3 linked regions of the Lepisosteus oculatus genome follow. The protein of the gene in region 3 interacts with the protein of the main gene of each other region in a biochemical or structural test. Links are inferred from orthologs where the notes say so. Each region holds a gene or a part of one and is shown on either strand. Other genes may lie near its edges.

Evidence for each region. The genes of interacting proteins can lie anywhere in the genome.
Region 1: of the proteins of lck (region 3) and ptprc, one has a biochemical effect on the other in vitro, tested with the Homo sapiens proteins (5 studies listed by BioGRID and IntAct, with this or other methods). The link is inferred for Lepisosteus oculatus from reciprocal best matches to the Homo sapiens genes LCK and PTPRC.
Region 2: of the proteins of lck (region 3) and ptpn22, one has a biochemical effect on the other in vitro, tested with the Homo sapiens proteins (3 studies listed by IntAct, with this or other methods). The link is inferred for Lepisosteus oculatus from reciprocal best matches to the Homo sapiens genes LCK and PTPN22.

The regions. Positions count from the first base shown.
Region 1 is NC_090704.1:11,608,621-11,616,049, forward strand, and holds the start of ptprc (receptor-type tyrosine-protein phosphatase C), read right to left. Parts: upstream 3,016-7,429; 5' UTR 2,907-3,015; intron 2,816-2,906; 5' UTR 2,776-2,815; coding exon 2,706-2,775; intron 1-2,705. UniProt on the Homo sapiens protein: Protein tyrosine-protein phosphatase required for T-cell activation through the antigen receptor. Acts as a positive regulator of T-cell coactivation upon binding to DPP4.
Region 2 is NC_090700.1:35,040,333-35,048,070, forward strand, and holds the start of ptpn22 (tyrosine-protein phosphatase non-receptor type 22), read right to left. Parts: upstream 3,016-7,738; 5' UTR 2,891-3,015; coding exon 2,801-2,890; intron 1-2,800. UniProt on the Homo sapiens protein: Acts as a negative regulator of T-cell receptor (TCR) signaling by direct dephosphorylation of the Src family kinases LCK and FYN, ITAMs of the TCRz/CD3 complex, as well as ZAP70, VAV, VCP and other key signaling molecules.
Region 3 is NC_090706.1:3,393,832-3,401,660, reverse strand, and holds the start of lck (tyrosine-protein kinase Lck), read right to left. Parts: upstream 3,020-7,829; 5' UTR 2,550-3,019; intron 1-2,549. UniProt on the Homo sapiens protein: Non-receptor tyrosine-protein kinase that plays an essential role in the selection and maturation of developing T-cells in the thymus and in the function of mature T-cells. Plays a key role in T-cell antigen receptor (TCR)-linked signal transduction pathways.

The DNA.
Region 1 (7,429 bases), on a different chromosome or scaffold from region 3:
GTAAGGATATGTATCGTTGCTGCTGTATTTTTAGAAATAGTACCTGCACCAACACCTTTCTTGCTAGTCTGCTAGGTTTTAGAAGCTGTATCTTGCGCATTGACTAATTTGTATTTTTGGTGTTTTTAATTTATCTTTGCATGAGATCACTTTCAGATTAATACTATAATTCTGTAAACAATAAAATCCCAAAGTAAAAGCCCAAAGAATAACACATATTCAATATAACAAATATTCAAAATAACAAAGATAAAAAAGATAAAAGTTACACATTAACTGATTAGTAAATTGAAGTTCAGCCATTATTCTACAAATCAATTATTAATGTCAATCTGTTTGTGTCTAAACATGAATCATTTTCTTACTAGTTAGTTACAGGACCTAAGAGTATTCTGTTGTTAAAGGCCTTGTCATGAGAATCTTTTCACCATATAATATGAAAAATAACAGTTCCTATTACTATTGTAGGCCAATATAATATCATTCACACATTTAATGATGAATTTTTAAACCGCACTATGAAACAGCAAACTCAAAGGAGATTAAGCTCTAAAGAAAAAAATTATATCACTTTTACAGATATGGTCATACATATTGGATACTTGCAAGTGCAAAGCACTTCAACCCCCAGTACTCGCAATTTACACACTCAGTTCTCGATGGCGGCTTACCACTGAGTATAAACAAGACAAAATATTTTTAATTTGTCATTTGCAAATGGGCGATAGTTCAGGATTTTCAAGAAAATAAATGAAACAGATGACTATTACTCACTTAGGTCTCACCTATGCTTTCAGTCTTAATTATTGAAACTTGCATGGCAATAATAATAATACATTGACCTCCATGAAGTCAGTATGTTCTCATTTATAGGTTGTAATATTAAAAACCTTTTTGAGATCCATTAGTGAAACAAAATGTACTAACCTTCAACATAAAAAATACAAACTAAAGGTTACAGTGGTATAAATCTGGACTTCCGATAAAATTAAACGAAATGTATATATATGTATCTTTAAATAGAGGAGGCAGAATGAGAAAATTGGAACACACATCTGAAAATGAGCACCAAGAGAAGAATCAGACACACTAATATATAATTACACATACTACACCATTTCTTACACTGCTATTATATTTGTTTTTAATTATCGCTAAATTACTTTATTTTAGTTTTAATCAACATGTTAAAACCATAAAGTAACACCCAAAATTAATTTAAAGTACTAAATATATAGTAAAAACAATGCATTTTGTGTTCCATAGTGGTTTGTTCTAAACATTTGAAGCAGATAACCTCTGATACAGTACGTCTTACAAGTAGTTAATGGTTTGGATGCTGAAGACTAATTACCCTTTGAGTAAAAGTTTACTAGAAGGACACACCCTAAGTTTCAAAACCAGTAGAAAAATGTTATCATTAATTTTGGCATTCATTGCATTCAATAACATACAGTATCCAGAAGATGCAGTACATTTCTATTTAATACATTTCAGAATTAAAACACCTTTGATATTTGTCTCACAGTGATTTTGTTTCTGGAAACTAATTTAAAAAATTGTATTCTGGCAACAGGAACAAATACGTTACAAATTTTGGCAGTATGAATGTTACCATTAAACTTACTACATTGGTTTACTTTGTTATAATATGTATTTCTATTTTATTTTGTTTTTTTCCTAAGACTCATAGTGTATTAACTTTAAAGTAATGCTCAATGTTAAAAGAGGAACTGCAAAAAAATATGAAGGGAGTGGCAAATGTATGATTAGTGAGCGATGAAATAATGCAGATTTTTATATCAAATAATTCAGTCCAGTACTTTCAACAGAGTTTGTGTACTTTTTTAAAAAGTTTACATGAACATTTTACTGCTTGTTTTTTTTAAATGGTCACCTTATGATTTATTTTCTTTCTACTTATTCTGTGTTCAACTTAATCTCTTTAACAGTAAATTATTTTGTAAATTTAGCACTGCCAAAATCTCTTTTCTCTACAAAACAACTTTTTCCAGTTTGAGGAGCATTGTTTATATTTTTGTCAATATTTTATTAGAGATATAAAAATTCAAACTAACCACTGCAAAAAAGATTTGGAAGCAATCAAATGATTAATTGAATTCATTAACTGTTTTTATGAAGTCATCTTTTTCTTTGTCTGTTCACTACTATATAAAATATTTTCAGCACATTTAAGAGGGATGTCATGAAACCATCAATGAGAACTGAAAAATTACAGGAACAAAAATATGAATACTACAAGATACTATAAACTTAATTTAACTGAGATCTTTTTAATGACAATAAAAATTTTGGGGAAATTTCAAAAGATAGGTTTTGTGGGCATAAGAAGGCCTTTAGTTTAAAATCTGAATAAATAACAAAAAATAACCAACCTCAATAAAAATACATAAATAATGAAAAGCTAATGTAACCCAAAAACTGTAGCGAAACAATACCTATTTGGTGAATTATGTTAAAAAAGGTTCTCTTTTCTTCACTTAAATATTAACTAGTTATATGTAGTCAACATGAAACTGCCATACTAATGGAAGCACAAAACTGTTACTTAATTGAAAAGTATAACCCTTTTTCTAATATATGAGGAAAGTTAATTAAGCAGAGCAGTTTAAATAAACCAATCAAAAAAAACATTTTAATCTGTCACAACCAGGGACTACCAAAAAATATGATCCGCTACATACCTTCACAAACGATGCCCAAGACCAGCAAACCGACACATAGTGTCAGCTTCAGTCCAAAAAGACCTGTCATTTCCAGAGTTCAGCAAAGTCCTTCCGAAACACCATGCGTCCTATTGAGAATCAGCATAAGAATAATTTTTTAAAAACAGTTTTTTTATTTTTTTACTTGAAATGGGTATAATTGAGCAACGTTTTACATACGTTTTTCTTGCCTGCTTATCAGTCCGAGTGCAGTTTCCTCTGTGTGTTACCCAAACCCTAACCACTCGCTTCTTGTCATGCTACTGTGAATGATGTCAGATAGAAAGTCGTACCTACATTTTTAACATGCTCTTGGTCCATTCACTGCAGGAAGTCAGGTTATAAGTGAATTTCTACTGCGCCACATTTAGTTCTTCCACTCAACTTTGAAAACAGCCATAGACAGAAGTTGATTGTTTTCTTGTACCAAATAATTCAGGAAAAACAATTGTGCAACACTCTTAATTTCAAATCATACAAACTCCAGATTGTGACTTTGAAGATTCAGTATCATCATTTTTGAAAGGATTTCTGATATTTTGCCAGAATAATGGTTTTCAGTGTGTCTATTTGGTGCAATTAATGGGATTCAGGCTTTCCTAATAGGCCTTAACATAAATTATTATTTTTGTTACTTCCAAACAGTGGAACAGTTTAGCAGATTTGGATTTTTTTTTACACCCAGCACTTTTTTGTCTAGTCATTTTTTAAAGACAGCTTAATTCCTCCTTGTTTAAACTTAAACTTTTAAATGAATAATTTTAAAGCAACACAAAGTTTCAGACTATGCCACAGTAGATGTAGTGAGCTGGTCACAGCCACCTTGATGGTAAATTATTGGAGCTGTTTTTACCAGCAGTTATACTGTAACAATGTGTTTTTAAATTAAGATTACTTTTTGTTTAATCTTCTTATTTTCTATCACGTACTATACAAGCCTTTCATTCTATTTTTTTTTAAATAATTCTCACACTTACACAGCAAAGTGCTGTTCTGTACACTCTACTCAAAGTGCACTACACAGATAATGGGGACTCCCCTCTAATGCCACCTGTGTAGCCCCACCTGGATGATGTGGTGGCAGCCAAAGTATGCCAGTACACTCACCACACACCAGCTACCAGTGGGACTTTTCTACTTTCATTCATTTTAACATGTCTTACAAAGTCCTTTGTGATAATAATAATGACGTGTGATGCTGTAGCGGCTGCACCGCCCCCTGTAGCCATGTGCATGCAATGCATACTGGGAACGACGCCGGAGGGGCGGGACTACCGGACTGTATATAGTTGGACGGGGGCTGTGAGACGTCTCCCTTTCGTGTCTGTGTATAGTGTAGGTATTGTACTGTATTCCCTGTGTCCCTGTGTGTACTAAATGTGCTGCCAACACACATCAGAGCTGTATGCCTGCGTCATTCCATACCAAAACCCCATGGTCATTACATTGGTGTTTGGAGCGGGACAGAATGGAGCGGCGCAATGAATGAGAATGAGAGTGGCGCGGAGAGCTCCAGCGAGAGGCAGCGGGAGCCCACAGAGAGAGGCCCGGCGCGCGGAGAGAGGCCTGGTGCGCGGAGACGCCCAGCTAGACACAGTAGAAGCGGCTTGGTGAGAGGCTTGGCATGCAGAGAGAGGCCCAGTGCACGGAGAGAGCTTCAGCGAGAGCCCCGGGCAAGAGGAGCAGCAGAGCCCCGGGAGCAGCCTGCCTTGCATGTGCAGCCTGGAGGGACAGTTTGGAGTCAGGGATGCCTGATTCCTCAGGTGGGGGCAGTGTAGCACCCACGTGGGACGCTGTAGTGGCTGCACCGCCGCCTATAGCCATGCGCACGCAAGGCGGCTGGGAACAGTGCCTGAGGGGCGGGACTACCATATATAGTTGTTTGGGAGCTGTGAGACGCTCTTTCCCTTTCGTGTATAGTGTAGGTGTTGTGCTGCATTCCCTGTGTGTGTAACCCTCTTCAGCAGCATTAATAAATGTTCTGCCAACCCACGTCAAAGCTGTATGCCTGCTTCATTCCATACTGAAACCCAGCAGTCATTACAATAATAATAATAATGAAGAATTTCTTACACTTACTGTACATGGTGATTTCTGGACACTCCATTCAAAGCACTTTACAGGTAATGGGAACTCTCCACCACCACCAATGTGCAGCATCCACGGGGATAATGTGACACTTTCATTGTTGAGAACTATACTGCACAGAGAAGTAAAGCCATTGAATATGTGGTAGGGAGTAAAACTATTGCTCAGATTTGGTGTGGATTTTATAAGGTCCAAACAGATGTAGAACAAAAGATATTGGCAGCAGTGTTGGTGAACCAGTAGGCGCCATTCTTCTCTCTGGACCAGACCCTCCAAACCTGAGGACACAGGTATACCATAGGATGTGCTGTCTTCTGCCTAAAAAATTAAACTATGGTCCTGATTAATTGGTCATGAATGATCTCAGTGCATTTTTAAAATAAAATAAGGGGGTTTTAGCTCTGATGTTATGGTGAAATTCCGTTCTTGGCTTGCACAATCCGGCCTTCCTAAAGTTCTAATCCTTTTTCTTTTTGGTGAGGAAGTTTCTCACAACTTTTCTTGAACTGTCATGTAGTAAGACTGCTGGCACATGACTCCTGAATGACACCCCAGTAAGTTCTGCTCTTTTGTCTTATATGTAAAACACTTTAGTGTATAAATGCAAAGAAACATCATTATACAAGCAGTAAACATTGGGAGGAACGAACATGGGATTTAATAGAATGAAGGTTGAGTTTTGGTGTAGTTTTGGTTAGCATAGTTTTGGTTTGGGTTCAAATGCACCCAAGATTAAAGGGATTCATATCAAGATTTCCCTGAGATTACAAAAAGACGATTTGCTGTTATCTTTTAGTGGTAAGCTACACTAACTTCTTTCAAAAAATTTCAACAAAATATTTTTCATCCCCATACTTTGTGAATGGGGGCACTGTCGATAAGCCAGAGCCAATTCCAATTTCACAGGCATTTTGAGAAAAATTTGAATTGTAATTTTAATCAAAAACTGTCATTTTTTTCTGTTTCATTTTTTCATTGCATCATATGAGAATTGAAAAACAGTTCTAGGCAAGACAATTGCAGAAATGTTGCAAGGAGTAATAACTGAAGCGTGGATTAAAGGAGCCACATCCTGTGCCTTTGTGTATAAAAACCTGAGCTGACAAAGGACCAACAGACTGATTTGAAAGGTGTAAATCATAACAGTGAAGCAGTGTATATTGTATGATGCACAATGACTGTGGATTATTATATTTGTTTCCTGCATTCCCATGAAACTCTTCTTATTTTTAACTTGTTCAGATCATACAATGATCAGTTCATTTTTAGTTGCATTACAGCCCTTTAGTCTTTTCAAACAAAATCTTGGTCCAGACTTGATTTTTAGATGTCCAACTACAGTATTAGTTGGTTGGTATTAGACTATAGTATCTGAATCTGAGTGTTTACATTTGCATTAAGTTTTATTATATTGGGGAAATTTACTTTTAAAAAATAAAAATTTCTTATGAAAGGAACTACTTTATAAAATTAATAGTAGAAAATTAGTCCTCAAAGACTAATCAGTTTGTAGTGATTCTATTCTATTCTGTGTGTAGTTAACAAATAATGTAACATTGCCTACTGTACAATATATTAAGCAATTTATTTCATTTTAATTTTAGACCACTTATAACTGTAAGTGATTACTTCATATTAAACAGTCATGATGGATGTAAGTTGTGAATCTGCTCAAACATCAGTTACGCATTTTGTGGTACATTGATAACTGAGAGCATTTACGTTGAGGGAATTCACAGATGGCAGTACCACTCCAACGTATGAATGCTGCTTAGGAGTGGATTTAAGTGCTTATGCACAAAGTTTGCACCCTCCATTTTTAGCAAGCTCAGAAAAGGAAGTTATGCTGCTCTGTGACTCACCGTTTGGTGTATCATCAGTGACAGGGGTTGAAATTCAGAAATTAAGGTTATCAATTTGCACAGCAAACTTAGACCTTTGACTCTGAAAGATGATGTGAAATTATGTTGATGGAGTTGGTTAAAAAAGTTTGCGACCGCAACATAACTTCAATTTTGTTTTAAATCATGTGTGTTACAAAGATTGCCATCATCCTGTACTGTGTTTTTTTTTAATAAAGCATCACAATCTTTATTTCTATAATAGTACAATTTCTAGTACATCCTAATCTTGATCCTGCTTTATGTTTATCATTTTGTAAACACTGTCAACATCGCTGGAATGCATCCAGCCCTGCATAAAGAGCTTGAAAAGTGAATGTTTTTAGTGGGACTTTCAGTCACTGAGACATTCACTGAATCACTGCTTAGACAATGTAGATTAACACAAAAATCAGTTAATTGAACAAGTTGTGGTCGTTGTTTCCTTAACACCACTATAATAGGCACTAAGAATTCCTTTATTATATCACAAATTAACCCATTCACGAGTATAACTTTTGATTAATGGTTTATATAATAGAATAAACAACATTTCTTTGACAGTTTCGCTGGAACGCTCCCTACCACTGGTCAGTTTTCAGTTTTCAGTAGTGAAAATTGAATTTGAGTAACAGTAAAAAGCCCTGATTCCACTGCAGTATAACTTCTTTTTTTAACATGCTCAAGATGGAGGGAGCAAACCTTGTGCATAAGCATTTCATGACATAAGAATAC
Region 2 (7,738 bases), on a different chromosome or scaffold from region 3:
GGTTGTACTAGAAACAAAGATCCCCCAAAACAAAATCCTTCCTCGCAGTAACAGTGTGCAATACAGGTCTGTTCCGTGTCACAGCAATCCACAGCCTATCACCATTCAAACCAAAACTGTTTCAGGTATGTACAGTATGTGATAAAAACACATGTTCGCCATTTTGGTTCTTTTAGTGAATATCATTGATAATATCATAAGACCACAGAACCCTGCTGCAAAAGAACCATCAGCACCAGAACAGCACTGTTTAAAGTTGATATTTTAGCATTAAGTCTGTAACAGAGGACGAGAAGGTTAAATGGGTTGTAACGTAGAGCAATAACCAGCAGTTTATTTTTACCATTCAAAGCAATTTGGCTCATCTGCAGCCTCAGAGGTTTCTTGAAAGTAGACCTTTACTCATTAATTCATCATAATGAGAAGAGATGAAGGGTTGTTTAACGAGTTGCGTGCTTACTCAGGCACAGCAGGAATAAAAAGTGTCAGTAAAATGAGTGCAATGGGAATGGAGAGGTACTGGTAAAATGCAGAGATAATGAAATCATAAATAGGAAAAGTGATTATTTAGTCCATTTACATTACTGCCCCCCTCGCACCACCGTTTTTCATGGGTGTCCTAGGGGTAGTAAACATTTCCTTAGTGTGTTATTCCTGCCACGAGGCCTGACTAAAACTGTTCAGTCAAGTGTTATCAATGAGAATAGGCAAACAGAGTGTTACAACATTTAGTTATAAGTGTAAAATTCAAATCAATGGGATGTTGTATTGAAATTGCACACAATTGCACTAGTAATATCTCTGTAGAATTTTGTGTACAATTTTTTAATCATGCTATAAATGCTGCTCTAGGGTAGAGCGACAAGATATATTCCTGGTCTCAAAGGAGAGTACATTGACAGGCTGAAGGAACTGAATCTTTTTAGTCTTGAACAGAGAAGACTATGAGGAACCTGATTTTTAAATAGTCAAAATCAATTAAAGCAACTGTAGCAGTCAACTCAGTGGACTTCACCACTGAAATCTGAACCAACCAATACAAGTGCAAACTATGGCAACTCAGGTCTGTTGTTGAAGCCAATACCCTGCTTTTATTCCAGAAAAGGGTTGATATGATCCCCTGATCAATTAGCCTCTAAATACCAACCTCATAACCTTTCTTACATTTTTACAGTATGTGCTTTAGCTTTAATGGCTTCGTGGGAACAGGCAAGGCTCTTAATAACAGAAGTGTCACATTTAGAGAAGTTCACACTTTAGAAAAACATGTTAAAATACAGAGTACAGAATAAAAATAAAAATAAAAATAAATACAGTATAAAGATCTTTCTGCTTAAGAAAGTTAATATTAGAAGTGTCTAGTTTACTTTAGGTAATGGACGATTCAGAAGCAGTACTGCCTTTAAACATGCAGCACTTAAACAAGAGCTGTGATGAGACCATAACTGTGAGCGGCCTACACTGTTCCATAACAGAGTAAGTAATAACAGAGCTCAGAGTAAGTCTAAAAATCAATGAGAAACTTTTAGTGTTTCTCCAGTGTTTTCATGCTGCTGGTAAATTAGGAAAACACCCACCCTATCAAACACAAACAGACATACAGAAATGGTGTCTTCTTCAAGTTCAAAGTTTATAGGTCGTGTCCACCAGCACAAGGAATTTGGTCCTTTGTCTTACAAAAGGTAGATTTGCAAATTTATGTAGGTGAGAAAAAATACAGTACTCTTTCACATCACCCATGCAGTATTTACAGAGAGAAGTGCCCCAGCAGGGAGAGGAGGCAGACACAGTGCTACATTCTGGCCCAAACGGGACCTCTGGAACAATGTGCTCAGACACCCTGACTGCATTTTAAACTCTCCTATGGATTGTCAGTTTGATTTTAACAGATGAATGTGACCAAAACTTGCAGAAAACAAAAATGCAGATTTGTCTTTTGTTTTTGAGTTCCTGTTTCATTTTGTTTCTGACATGTTATGATGGTCAGACCGGAACATTTTCAAGGAACTCTACAAACACCACATAAGGGGTAAAACCACAACATGGCATAGTATCAGTTATTCTCATACAGGAACAAGCTGTGGAAATATTTAACACTCTAATAATTGAGAAAATTCTTTAACATGAGATATCACTCTTACATGCTCGTGCTGAGTTAGAGGTGATTATAAGTGCATTACTAAATGCCTTTTCTGTCCTGGCCTTACAGACAGCGATACTAACTCCGTCACATCGATCACTTCCTTCCAGCCTTTTAAACAGACGCACTGTAGTGTTTTAAATCAGCTACTCTATTTTACAGGCCTATACTGAGAGAGGTGCTAAAAATGTAGTCATAATATAGTTTATAAACTATACATATAGATATACTATCAATATATAGTGCATAAGTAGAAGAAATTTAACAGACCAGTGCATTCGGTACATTACATGCACATCATGTGTATATCATAATGAACACATTGTTGCTGCTATACATTTACACTCTATATATCTAAGCCGACAGCTATTGTTGACGACCATCATTACCACATCTTACAGTACTTACTATAAAACTTTAAATACTAATAAAAAGAATATGAGAAGATAGAGGAATTGAATTGTTCATAAGGGATTTAAACTTTTTTCTTCCTTAGTGCAGCACTGAAAGAGTCGGCGCTCAGAACTTTTCAGTTTTTGTTTGTAAACTTTCCTTCTGTACTCCTGTGAACTTCAGTTAATTGAGGCAAAGCCCGAGCTTGTTTCATGTGGGCTAAAGGAGATTATAGTATCAAAGTACAGCTTGAAAGAATGAACTCACTAAATATTCGCTGGCAAAGATCTCCTCAGACTGAGCCTCCTTGGTCTGCATCTCGTCCAGGAACTTCCTCAGGATGCTCCTTTGGTCCATGCTGAGTCCCTTTGTCCTCTGGGTGTCCTGCAGCTGGGGTAGGACATGTCAGGACTGGGGGCTCGTGGGACCGGCACACTGACAGCCTCTACTGCCAATGAGCCTGTGGTTAAGAACTGCATGAGCTGTCTTGAAGGAAGCATAGCTAACAGGTTCTGTGGTCAGATTAAAAATATCATCCGTCATGCAGGGTCCTAGAGCCCGTTTCTCTTCTCCCATATTGAGTGTGCGCATGTGCTGTGATGTGTGTGGACAATTAGTGTGCTGTGCTGCGAGAGTCTCCTACAGACGTGCAGTGAAATGACAACAACACAATCACGCTTCAAGACAGGGAATTAGGAAATGTAAAACAAGAAGCGGTGAGGCTGCACAGCCAGTCAGACAGCATTCATCACTCCCAGAATCCAGTTTGAAAGGCTAATCAGTCCCAAGAAGGTATTTCCCATTGGTAAAGAAATTGGTAAGACCCATTTCTCTGTGCCTTCTGTCTTATTGATTCCAGTGAATTTTACAGTATGTGCTCTGCTGAGCTAGCTCTTTTCACCTCTCTGTCTGGATTTGATATGTCTGAAAATGACATATTTGAAAATATTTAATGCCAAGTAACAACGTATGAAGTTAGACATCCCTTTCTGATGATGATGAGACAAACCAAGTCTTAAAAGTACAATTATAGAGTTTACTTGATTTGCAGTCATGACATAAAACGTACTCTTGGCCAACAGGTTTCGAAGAACTGTTCTTTTGTTACCCCTTTTAAAAGGTTTTGCCATGTTAAACAGGAAATTGTGACACTGACGTAAGCATGGTGTTTCAGGAATGCATTCTCCTTTACTGGCATCCTTATCTTTGAATTGTGCAGCTCCTTCTGCAGCCTAGAACAGTGTCAGGTGCTGCAACAGTGAACTCACATGCTTTGTGAATTCATTTTGCTCCCTTTTCAAACAGACTGTCAGCTCAGTGTTGTGATTTAGTGTTTGACTTGCTTTTCTTGTCTGAAAATTTCCAAAGATTCTCAACAGAAGGCTGCTTGTGTGCTATATGGGGCTGTAGGTTGGCTTGTCATAATGCATACATTTTTTAAATAATGTCTACTGGTGTATTGTATGCTTCTGAAAGTGAAACATATTAGCCTTCTAAAAATTAACATTTCACAAGAGATGGAAAATTGTACATTGTATGCATTTGTATATTTCAGTTCTACCACTGATATATTTTCATGGTTGCTGTGATAATGTGGTCAGTGAGAGCACAGTCCATGCGTTTCAAAAAGGATCTTATCAAGTAGAACATAGTGAAGCAAAAGGAGAAATATCTTCTGCCTCTATTTCCTTCCCTATCACATTTCTAAAAGACCTCTGTGTGCATCACTTCTATCCTGAGGTTAAGGAAGTGTAATTTCAGCCTGCCAGTCTATTATAGGGAACTAAGAATGAAGACAAATTGTCTGTTCAAAAATCTAGCTTCTGGCACTTCTCCTGTAGTACTTCAGATGAGTAAATCCAATTTTCATTTATTACATGAATAAAAACCAACCTTACAGTTGTGAGAAAAATGTTTGTGTACCCTTCGGAATCATCTGTATTCCTGTATTAATTACGTGCTCCTAAAGTGCAATCTGTTCTTCAGATAAGTCATAATAATAATTAAATACAATCTGATTAAACAAATAACACATAAACAATTGTGACTTTTTCATGACTACATTGAGCACATTGTTTAAACATTTAGTGTCTATGCTGAAAAAAGTAAAAAGTATGTGAATGTAAGTACAGTATGACCTCAACCAAACATTTCCTGTAGCTGGATCAGTCCTGCTGTAGCTGCTGTTTTGGACCATATGGAAATGGGCATATTTTAGCTGTCTTACAACAGCCACTGTAGAGATTGAGCTATAAGGCACAAAGTATAAAAAATGGTAAATTTGAAAAAATCTGGTTAACTTTTTTCAAAAGGAGTCCCAACAGGCACTTGCTGCTTGTTTGTGCAACAAGTCCACCTTTAATTCCACATTAATCTGCATTATTGCTTTCAATAAAACGATACTGATATTATTTTAATTAAGTCATGAGCACTTCTAGTCAGTTGATTAATGAGCAGGCTTCTGGAAAGTACATGCAGCTTTGATGCCATTACAGCTAGCAGCATTTGATCTAATTACAGTTTGACTGTAATGCTGGTTCTGTGAACATTTTTTCCCATGTCAGAAACGCCCAGTCACTTACGTGAAACTGCATATTTTAAAGCGGTTAAACAATGCATTGAATACCTTAAGAGCAAAACAGAAGCATGACTGGAGCATAAAGATGTTACTGTCTGTCACCATCCCGAAAAACTTCAAATATCTCACAAAATGTCAAATATGTCAGCATTTAAAAAATGAGAGCTCATTCAGAAATGAAAGAAGAGACCAGGTATCACTTATCATTGGACTGATCACTGTTCACTATATCTTTAATACATACATTTGAATGATTCTGGTTTCATGGCACTGTTGGAAGCCTTTTATCTCCTGTCTAAACCACAATAAGCTGTTGGACCTCATGATCACTCTTAGATCTTTGACCATGGAGGCCATGGTTCAGTGGTGCATAGAGAAGAAAGTCAGATGGATCCGTATCATAGATGAGGGCTTTAGTGGATGTTAAAAGAGGTCTGTTCATGTCTCAATGGTAGCTTAAAACACTTTGTGTCATGGGTCTATGGAACACCTTACATGCTGTGTTTTAAAGAGTTAAATACTCTTCCATCAGAAAATTTAGAACAAGCAACAACAACTAGGAGACTGTGGTGACCAGATATGATATCATGCTTTGCTTGATTCTTGCCTAAACTTCAACGGGGGGTCATGATAGATACTGTCATTCAGTGCTCAAATATTATCATTTTTATTATCAGGCAAAGACAAAATTTGGAAGGCATCAGTACTTCACATGGATTCTCTATATGGCTTCTTCATTGATACAATTAGTGGTTTTCATTTTGTAAAGTCAAAAAAAGCCATATACAGTAGTAGAAAGTTTTCTGTCTTTTCCTGCCACTGGTGAACAGTGAACATTGTGTCAGTTCTGGCCTTAGCACACACTGACAATTCTGAAGGGTGTAGCTGATGATCGCCCTGTGATAGACAGAGAAACCTCTGTAATATCCACACGCTCATGGCATCCCAGAAATCATCTCAGATTTTTTTCCTCATTCCAAATCCTGCAGGTGAGGAGGAGGACCAATGATATGAGCTCCACTCCTCGTTGTTGTGCATCTGCCTAAAGGCCTTCTTATGAAGGGCTGGAAGGGCTACAAGCTTATCTCTGTATAAAAATCAGTTGCACAATAGAGTTTTGATTGAAACGTCCAGCCAACATTATCATCTTACCTTCTCTTCATCAGGACCTCCTATGTTCTCAGATCTCACTGGGTTGATCTCCAACAAGTGAGCCACACATTCTGTGGATGTTAGTGAAATGCTGGATCTCTTTCCTGATTCACCTTCCCTTGGCAGATGATAGCCAGAATGATATAATCACAAACTTCTCTGTACTTATACTTAGCGCCAGTGTGCCCTTCAACTGCAAAAAAAAACAACAATCGGTGGTGATCAATAAATTATTACTTAACATGTATTTCTCCGCTGCATGAAAGTTTTGTGTCAGTATTTGCTGTTAAGCGCAATATGAAATTGCAGCTCTGAGTTCTGATAAAGTTGCCTTTTATATTCAAATGGAATCTGCCCTCTAGTGGCAGCTCTGAGAAATCCGGCAAAAGACACTGAAAGGTTTCATACAGTAAAAAAACGAAATCACTGCAGATGCACACTGCTTTCTAGGTTGTGGGTAGCAAATCGAATAGTGACATCATGAAGTGCTCCTTTAATAAAGTCTTTCTATAATGTTTTTTGTTTATGGGGCCCATATTACGAAATTCACAAATACCTTATTCTTTGGTATTTATGGGATTCCGTGTCATTACATGAATGTAATGTATTTTGTTTCCATAGAGGTACTGTATTTGCTACACACTGACATGCAATGTGTTGGACCTGCCCAGACATCTGGTTAAACTGGCCTTTAAATTAAACTTACTGATCAAATCAAATATTTTATTCCTGTAATTCTACAAAGAGGGATGGCATTTCTGAGGTTCAGCGTCATAGTAAGAATGAAGAGTTTTTATTGTATGTTACCTCAACCAGTGGAGCAAGGCTAGACACCAGAAAGATTGCAGCTGCATTTTGCTTCAGTGCCAGGCATGGACAGCTTTCTTATCATGTGAACCTGCATATCTGCAAAATGTGCAATGAACCTTTTTTTTCCATTCACTGTAAGATGTATTTTTTATACTATTCTGTAATAGTTGAGTAAATGAGTAAATGAGTATCTCCTGTGTACACTGCCTCTGTTCTGGTGTACACTGTCTTAGTTTGAACCATCCTATTTATCAATATTAGTATTATTATTTTTAGTAGTAATTGCACTATGTGTATCCTGTCTACAATGTCAGTGTCTTGTTTGTAATTGCATCATGGGCCAGAAGGACCAATATTTAATTCCACTGTAACTTGAACTTGAACTTTTTTTTCTGAAAAAGACAGTTGAAGATGAGATGAAAAACCCCATGTTTCTTCTGACCTCTGGGTGATGAAAAGGGTTTATTACTCTTAAACTGTTTGAAGGTGTTAATTGGTAAGCTATAATCAATAGCTACTGTATAGGGGTGATTTGAAAAACAAAGGCCAAATTTACCAGAGGAATTTTTGAAAATTACCTCATCTATACGATTTCTGCAAAAACATCCATTTCAAAGAAATGGCTCGTAATAAAGGTGACCAGAAAAAACCACAGTGAATATGTT
Region 3 (7,829 bases):
GCTGTTCACGTTATGAATCACCTGTCTCTTTTCGCTCTTGTTCCGAGTTCCTGGTGAAAAGCAGCACTGATGGGGAGATAAATTACAGCCTTACAGATTCCTAAGCACATGACCTGGGGGAACTGCTTATGAAGCTAATTTATTTTTAATAAGTGGCTAACAACCCCGTTATTATAGTGTAATAGCATTGTGAAAGTGTCATAACAGGTGAAGTGGTATTATTGGTAATAATCAGGCAGCTTAAATAGTGTAAGAATCATTCCAGTGCAGGTCCTGGACATTATTATTATTATTATTATTATTATTATTATCATAATTATTATTATTATTATTATTTGGTATTACTCTTACCACCTTCAACCAGCCTGGTGCTACTCAAGACTTCATGTCATGAACAGGGACATTAAGCAGGCCCAAACCTTTTTAAACTTCCCTGCCCTTGCAGCTGCACTTCCATTTTGTACCAGTTCTCTGCACAACATTCTGTGGTAGGAAATATAATCATGGTCACACTTAAAAAAATCTGTTTTTGGTATGGTGATACAAAACAGATCACACTCTGGTGTGAAGTGTCCAGTCCGTCCACCAAGCATACGAGGCCGTGTTTTAACCCCTAAAACTACAAGCTACAGAAATACAATTTTCATGTAATAGATACAACAAGTAATAGGTTTATTCTATGCTGAACTACATAGATACAACAATACCAACTAGCCAGCTTGGGCCCTGACAAGAAATGAATACAAAAGATGAATGACATAGTAACATCTCTCTCAGTCACATCTACACTTATTTAACTGACCTTTGTTTCTAATCCAACCAACACATCAAACAATTAGAATGTGCATATTGAAGAGTATATCATCATGAAGTTGGAAAAATAAGTACTACGACAACGGGACAGCATGTTTCTTCACTGAGTGTCGAAGAAAACAGAGAGTCTTTAAAACTTCGTTTTTAAATTATTTTCAATGTAAATGATTTTGAATAATTAAACTGCCGCCCTCCCAGTGTAGGGGTCCATTCACTCAGAACTCATAGTTCTGCAGAGGGGACAAGTCTTTCAGAATTCAGATCATTTTAATGGATCCCTAGGTAATACAGTGCCATGCTGATCAGACAAGTATCTTTTTTTGTCCATACATAAGTCCCTCCAAGTGGAAATTTAGAACATCACAATACGCCTTTTTATTGCCCGAGACTTCGCAATAAAAGCCAGACCACAGAACCAAAACACTTACCCGTCTCTGTGTAAAGTATTCCTGCTGCCTCCTGCTCTTACTGCTAAAATCTCCACTTGCAAATGTACACATGCGTCAGAGCTCTGCTGACCTCTCAGGCACAGTATTTGGTATTAACTTGCCATAAAAAAGTTATAAATGATTTTATAAAAATTCATTTCTACGCTTAAAAGGGCAAAGGGCATTTCTACGCCCTTTGAATTATCCTTAAAGAAACCAATTAAATGTGAACCAAGCCCCTTCACAAAGCTCATCACTGTAATTCACTGGCTGACTGCTGAAGCTCGGTTTTTGCTAGTTTTTCCTGAATGACATTATACTGCTAGGAGCGTCATGTTTTTTTTTGCTTTGATGGATCAAACTTTGATTTCTCCTAGCATTTCAAAACAGAACACACAACACACAACCATAGAAGAAACTATCTGGACACAGTTGTGTTCATAGCAATAACCTGTCTTTTTTCACCTCATACCATATCACATGCATATTGTGTCTTTAAGTCCCATGAAAATGGTTTCACCTTTCTAAATTGTACACGGTCCAGCACCATGACATTTTTATGTCTCATTTTCTGGAACTTTCTCCTCTAACTTTACATTCAAACTGTTTACTGTTTGTTTGTATATTATCTTGATGCACTGTCTGCACTTTGCGTTTTTGCACTTGTTTTAACAATCGAGAGACTTTCTGTAAGTAAGAATTCCATTGTACCAGTACGCATACCAGTTACACGTGGCAATAAAGCTTGAGTTCAAGTTCAAGTAACTTTTGAGTAGAATCATTTTTCAGTTCAATTCAATTTGAGCAGAACCCATCTAGAGTGGAACCTGACTTTTACTTTTACACACCAGAGAATGCAAGTGCATGAGATAGACAAACACCTTGACATTTATTTCATTTAGGACACATGGGCTGAAAAGGGTTTTTGATTAAATTAAAAAAATAAATAAAAAGCTTTTAAAGCATAAACCAAAACTCTGAAGCAAATGAAGGAATTAAAAAAAATCAATAGTACAAAATATGGGTATCCTTACATATTCTTATAAATCACTAACATGACTTCACTACATCCAAGTACTCTGCATACATCAGACAATAGATGCGAAAACATGATGGAACATTGTCAGCCATTGTTTGAATTGTATTCTGGAAAACTGTTGTCTTTCTAAAGGATGTCGTGTGGAATAGCATCAGCTGCATTGATGGGGTCCTAGACTCCACGGTCTGTTGTCCTAAAAACTCTCAATTTTGCAGAAAACACAAATACTGTTGGCTTGAGCCCATCATTATGAGCTTGCGTGAACTTACCTGATAAGTGTGGGCCTTGTCCTGGAGAGTCTTCTACATTCTAATGTCCTGGGGACTCGCCCAAACTGCTGATGACAACAGCCTGCATGCCAAGTCTTCAGGTAAAACGTAGATAAGTGACGCAGATTCCCACTTTCTCCCTTAAAACAGAACTAGGCTGAGGATCTTGTGCTATGGAGAGTTCCGCGAGGAAAGCAAAGGTTTCTGTCCCTCCCAGAGCAGATGAACTGATGGCGCATCCACCCTTCAAACCTTGACATGTGTGAGTTCTCACACCACAACGGCTAAGAAACCAGAAAGTCAGGGCTTCCTGTCTCTGGTGGAGAGTACCTCAGCCTCTAACTGCAATACAGCCCTGAGCAGGGATATGCATTATCGCAGGTGTCCCAGCTGCTGTGCTGTGAACGTTAGCCTCATTCAGATTTGGGTTAGAATACCATGTAGTTCTTGTGTGTGTGTGTGTGTGTGTGTGTGTGTGTGTCTGTGTGTGTGTGTGTGCGCTTTGTCTTTTATCAACATAACCTGGTTTTGGTTTCCTCACGAGCCAGGGGTATTCCAAAGAGATCTTTTTCTGTTCTGTAATCCTCTCCTTTGTGACTCCCACGGTCAGCACAACTGAGTCATCTGACAGCTACACAGGATGCTCCTCGGTCCTGCCACTCGAAAGGACTGAAAAGTCATGGAGCAGAGGGATTTTTGCTTGCTAACTCATTTTTGGCTTTGGGTTGAAAAACGACATTGGTCAATCTCGGGCCATGAGGTGTTATTGTGATGAGGGAAGCCAGCCCAGAGGCCTGACAATGTTGTCTCCAAGTGTAGAAGAGAAGTCCTGAATGGAGACACATATAAGCATGAATTTGGCTCGCCCTTCTGTTCTGTTGAAATGGGCTTTTTAAAGACGCACGTCAGAATAAAAGGGTTTTACATCTGTCTTGTCTAATGATTAAACCATAAACATGGGCTTACCAACAGATCACAAATCAAGCACTCGGCATCAGCTGGTGAGTCTCCAGTGGGCGCTAGGGAGAAACTGCCACAGAACGAGACATCACCATCAGGGACTGGGTTTGCAATTTGCCCCTGGCAGGCAGGCTGAACCTCTGATTCTGATTCAGACATCTGCCACGTTGGTGCAGTCTGATTCTCCTCTGTGGAGCACTAACTATGACCTGCTTATAGCGTATAGTTGTCAGAGGCATGATCTCTTCCAAAACTGTTACGTTATATAAAAATCAAGAACAGAAAATGCTGTCCTCGTGTCTGTATGTGGTCTGTTATCTGGAAGAATGTTGTGAAAACACATTCATTTGGAGAACGAACAGTTCTCTGATGTCTTTGTGTGGGCTCAAAGCCCCACGATTGACATCACGTATCTTTCAAAGTTTACAGAAATGTATTTTAGGGGTTGCTCATCAAGAGTCAAAGATTCTTAAAGGACACTTTTTTTTATCATTCGCATCAGTGTTCCAACAGAGAGATTCAGCACTAAAACTGTTGCTGATGGATGATTTACAATCTGTCCCTGTATTTCAACACTGAGGGCGCCATTTAATTAATAATTTATCAAGTTTAATCTTTCAAAGAAATGACTTCCTGTAAAGATGGGGGATTTCAAAACATGAACAATTAAACTAAAACTACACGTGAAGTATTTCATGGAACAAGATGTCATCTTTGATTTTGATTTTGAGTACTGTGTAGGCCATAGCACTTGTGGGTTTTGTGCCTGAATCACAGAAAAGTCCCTGATCGCCTGTTCTTAAAAAAGGTTACATCTGTTTGAATGCACCATCCTTAATACTGTACGCAGAAACCCCACTGATTTTTCTCATTTGTTCACTCAATACATTGCAAACCTCCTTGTTTACACGCTGAAATTGCAAGACCCATCAAAGGGAGATGAACTGTATTTCGGATTTTTAAAACTAGTTTCTTTTTCTTTCGTACGGCCTGTGAGAAGAAAGCAAACACAAAAAAAATACAAAAATACAAACACATCTTTTAAGTGGCTTCACTGACCATAGTTTCCTGTAAATCAGTTGTCAGCAGTGGTCAGCTGCATCAAGACTGACCAGAGGCCACAGTGGGGAATGGATGCTGGAAGGGGTTGTCATGGTGACAACCCATTGTTCTGTGCATTGTCCCTTGCTAGTGTCCACACAAGGACATCACGCCCTCGGGCTATTCATTCATACGCTGAATGGGCTGGCGTTCGGCTCACCTGTGAACAGTTACCTGACCGGCAGGTGTGGGTTCCTGGCTCAGCAGGAAGTTTTGTTGGGTTTTTTTTTTTATTGGCTGGTATTTTGTGGAAAAGGTGCAGTTTATTCCCTCCTGCCCGTCCTCGCACCTCCCCAGAAAAGTTCTTAAATTCGGCACAAAAAAGTTGTTTTTTAGGTAAAGAAGCTGTATGGAAAAAGTGTGCGTTTCTGCACGTGGGTATTTATAGCCCTTAGACACGAGCCAGCCTTGTTTAGATCTCTCTGGAGACTGACTTAAAATACTGGTGATGGTGATAATGAAAAGGAAAAGAGACATTAGAACCCTTTGCTGCGCTGAACAAGTGTCCCTGCCCTCGAAAGATTATGTTATGAAACTTGAGGGGTTGAGCACCAAAACCCAGTTCTCTCCAGAAAGCACATTTTCAATGTAGGTGTAACTCAAAAGGAAATCATACAAAATGTAAAACTACATTGAAAATGACATGTATACCACAGTTCTTTCAGCAGTGTCTGATATCATTGTCTGAAAATGCGAGCTGATAGCATGCAAAACCACATCGTTTTGTTGCGGTCTGCATGCTGAGCTGCAGTACTCACTGACAGGAAATAGGAACAAGTAGTGTTTGAATTCACATACGTACACTGCTGTAAAACAAGGTGCCAGTGTTCACATGTTATATATAGAAAGAAGGCTTGTTTTTTTTTTAAAGAACAGCTTTAAAGTATCCTAAAGGAATGAAGCATTTTTGTCACAACAGAAAGGGAGAACACACTCTCTTTTGCATGGAATCAGGAATAAACAATTACCAAACTGTCCTCAGATGCGTCCTCTGGCCTCACCTGTCCAGGGTATTCTCCCCCAGTTGTCATCACAGGTTGCACGTTGCTTATGTTTTAATGTCCAGTTCTGTGGTCCTAGCATTCGTCAGTGCGTTAACTTCATGTTAGACCAGGTACAAACCAAGATTCCTTTGCCTACTATTTGTTTGACAAAAAGTCTTCATTTTAACAGCCTGGGTTTAATCAAATGTTTGACCCACCTGGCAAATACAAAAATATCATATTATCCCAGGGTATCTGACTTAGATACAAGAAGCATTTGGAATCAATGGTACAAACAGGTGGGCTGACATTCTGATCATTACTCAGGACTTTCTCTGCAATGTCATGTAAAGCAACATTTCTACAAGTCAAGGTATTGGTAATGGAAGCACAAATCCTCTTACGTTGTGTTTGTAAGGTTTCTCAGTCCTTTAACCCAATTCTACAGATTCTTTTGTGCTGACAAAAGGACAGGGCATTTTCTGAAATCTCTTCCAAACCTTTCTGTCAATAGAAAGAGGTGATGTCAGCTGCAGTACCAACATCACAGTTTCAGTTATCTGGCTTTAAAGAATTACGCACGCTGTGACATCAAGGCTTATTAGAGACTGCAGATCTAACCTACGCTTTGATGCATTTTAAAAAGAGCTTTTTTAGGTCAAACACACAACACAAGGTTTTATGGCTGAGCAGAGATATACAGTAGTATCCATTAAATACTATTCCTCTGATTAATCATCTTACTCTCAGGCCAGGGATGTAATTTGTACATGGAAGATAAAAATTGTCAGAAACACTACACAGCAACAGGGGGAGCAGATGATTTGAGTCTTAAGATCTTTGCTGCCAGAATGCAGGGTTTTTTTCAGTTCACCTGAAGTGATGACATTTGAAGAGCGGTCTTGCTCATTTGAAGTCAACACCTTTCACCTAATACACTTAGTCAGAGACTGCAACAGCATTCAAATCTAAACCTGCCCCTAGAGATAGCAATATGGGGAAACTTGTGAAAGCACATCAGATGTGGACAGTGGTTTACAGAATTACATTCATGTTACCATAACAATTCTGTCATATGTCTCTTAACAATGAATGTGATTTATCAGCCTAGAAATGCAAATTGTTGGACATGAACTCTAAAAATAAACCATGCTTGCATCACAGGTCTTTTGCATGTATTTTGCCCAGAGCTATTTATTGTATTTCTTAGCTACAAACAGCGGCATGCATTGTAGTTTAAAACATACATTTGTGTTGTTTCATCATTCTCTTAATCACAAAGCTCTTTAACATGTCTTGACGTGACAGGAAACGTGTACAGTATAATACACTTTGCTTTACAGACTTCATTTTAAACTTGTCTAAGAGTTCCTTATTTGATATAGTGTTTTTCATAAAGAGGATCATTGTGGTTTTGAAGCTGAATGATGGGCCTTCAAATAATGTGCTTATTGTTTGTGGGTATTTTCCTTTTTCCTGAAAAAAAAAATCTTTGTTTAGATGATAAATCTTGTTTATGTTTTATGAAAACTAAATTTTAACCCCCCCCCAACAGTGAAACATGTCAGGACACAAGAGGTGGCAATATAAAATGGAACAAGAAACATAAATTCGGTTTAAACAGGTAGGAAGAAGAGACAGTTGCTTCCTTGGTTTGTATTCTACTCCTCTCCATTTTCCAGTCAAGCTGCAGTTAACACTTTTATGGGGCAGTTATGAAGAACATAATGATCTCTGCACTTCAGGATAATGACTATCCAGTGGACAGAGAGCACTTCAGACCAGTGAGAAAGCCTCTGCTTGTAAGGGACAGCACACTGCATGAGCTGAATTACTGTACAGATAAAAAACTGTCACTCTTTGTTAATGCTGACTGCCGTTATTCCTACCAGCAGGAATTTGCAAAATCACTTTATTTTTCTGTAGCCGAGAAGGCCTTGATATGTTTTATGATGTGTAATGGTTCGATAACGGTGATTAAAAAGCAATATGTGGCCAGCGTATTCAGCACAAGGTCATAAATCACAGTTACTGCTGTGCAGGGCGCTGGGCAGGCCAGCTGTGCCAGCACCAAGCTCTCATCTTCCTGCTGAGTTCTCTCGGCATCAGAGTCCAGAACGACGATACGTTGTTCTGTCACTTAGGGCTTGTCTTCTTTTAAAAAAAAAAAATCAAGTTCTTTTAAAGAAGTATTGACAGAATACTTTTAAAGAAGTATTGACGCAGCAGCTTCTCA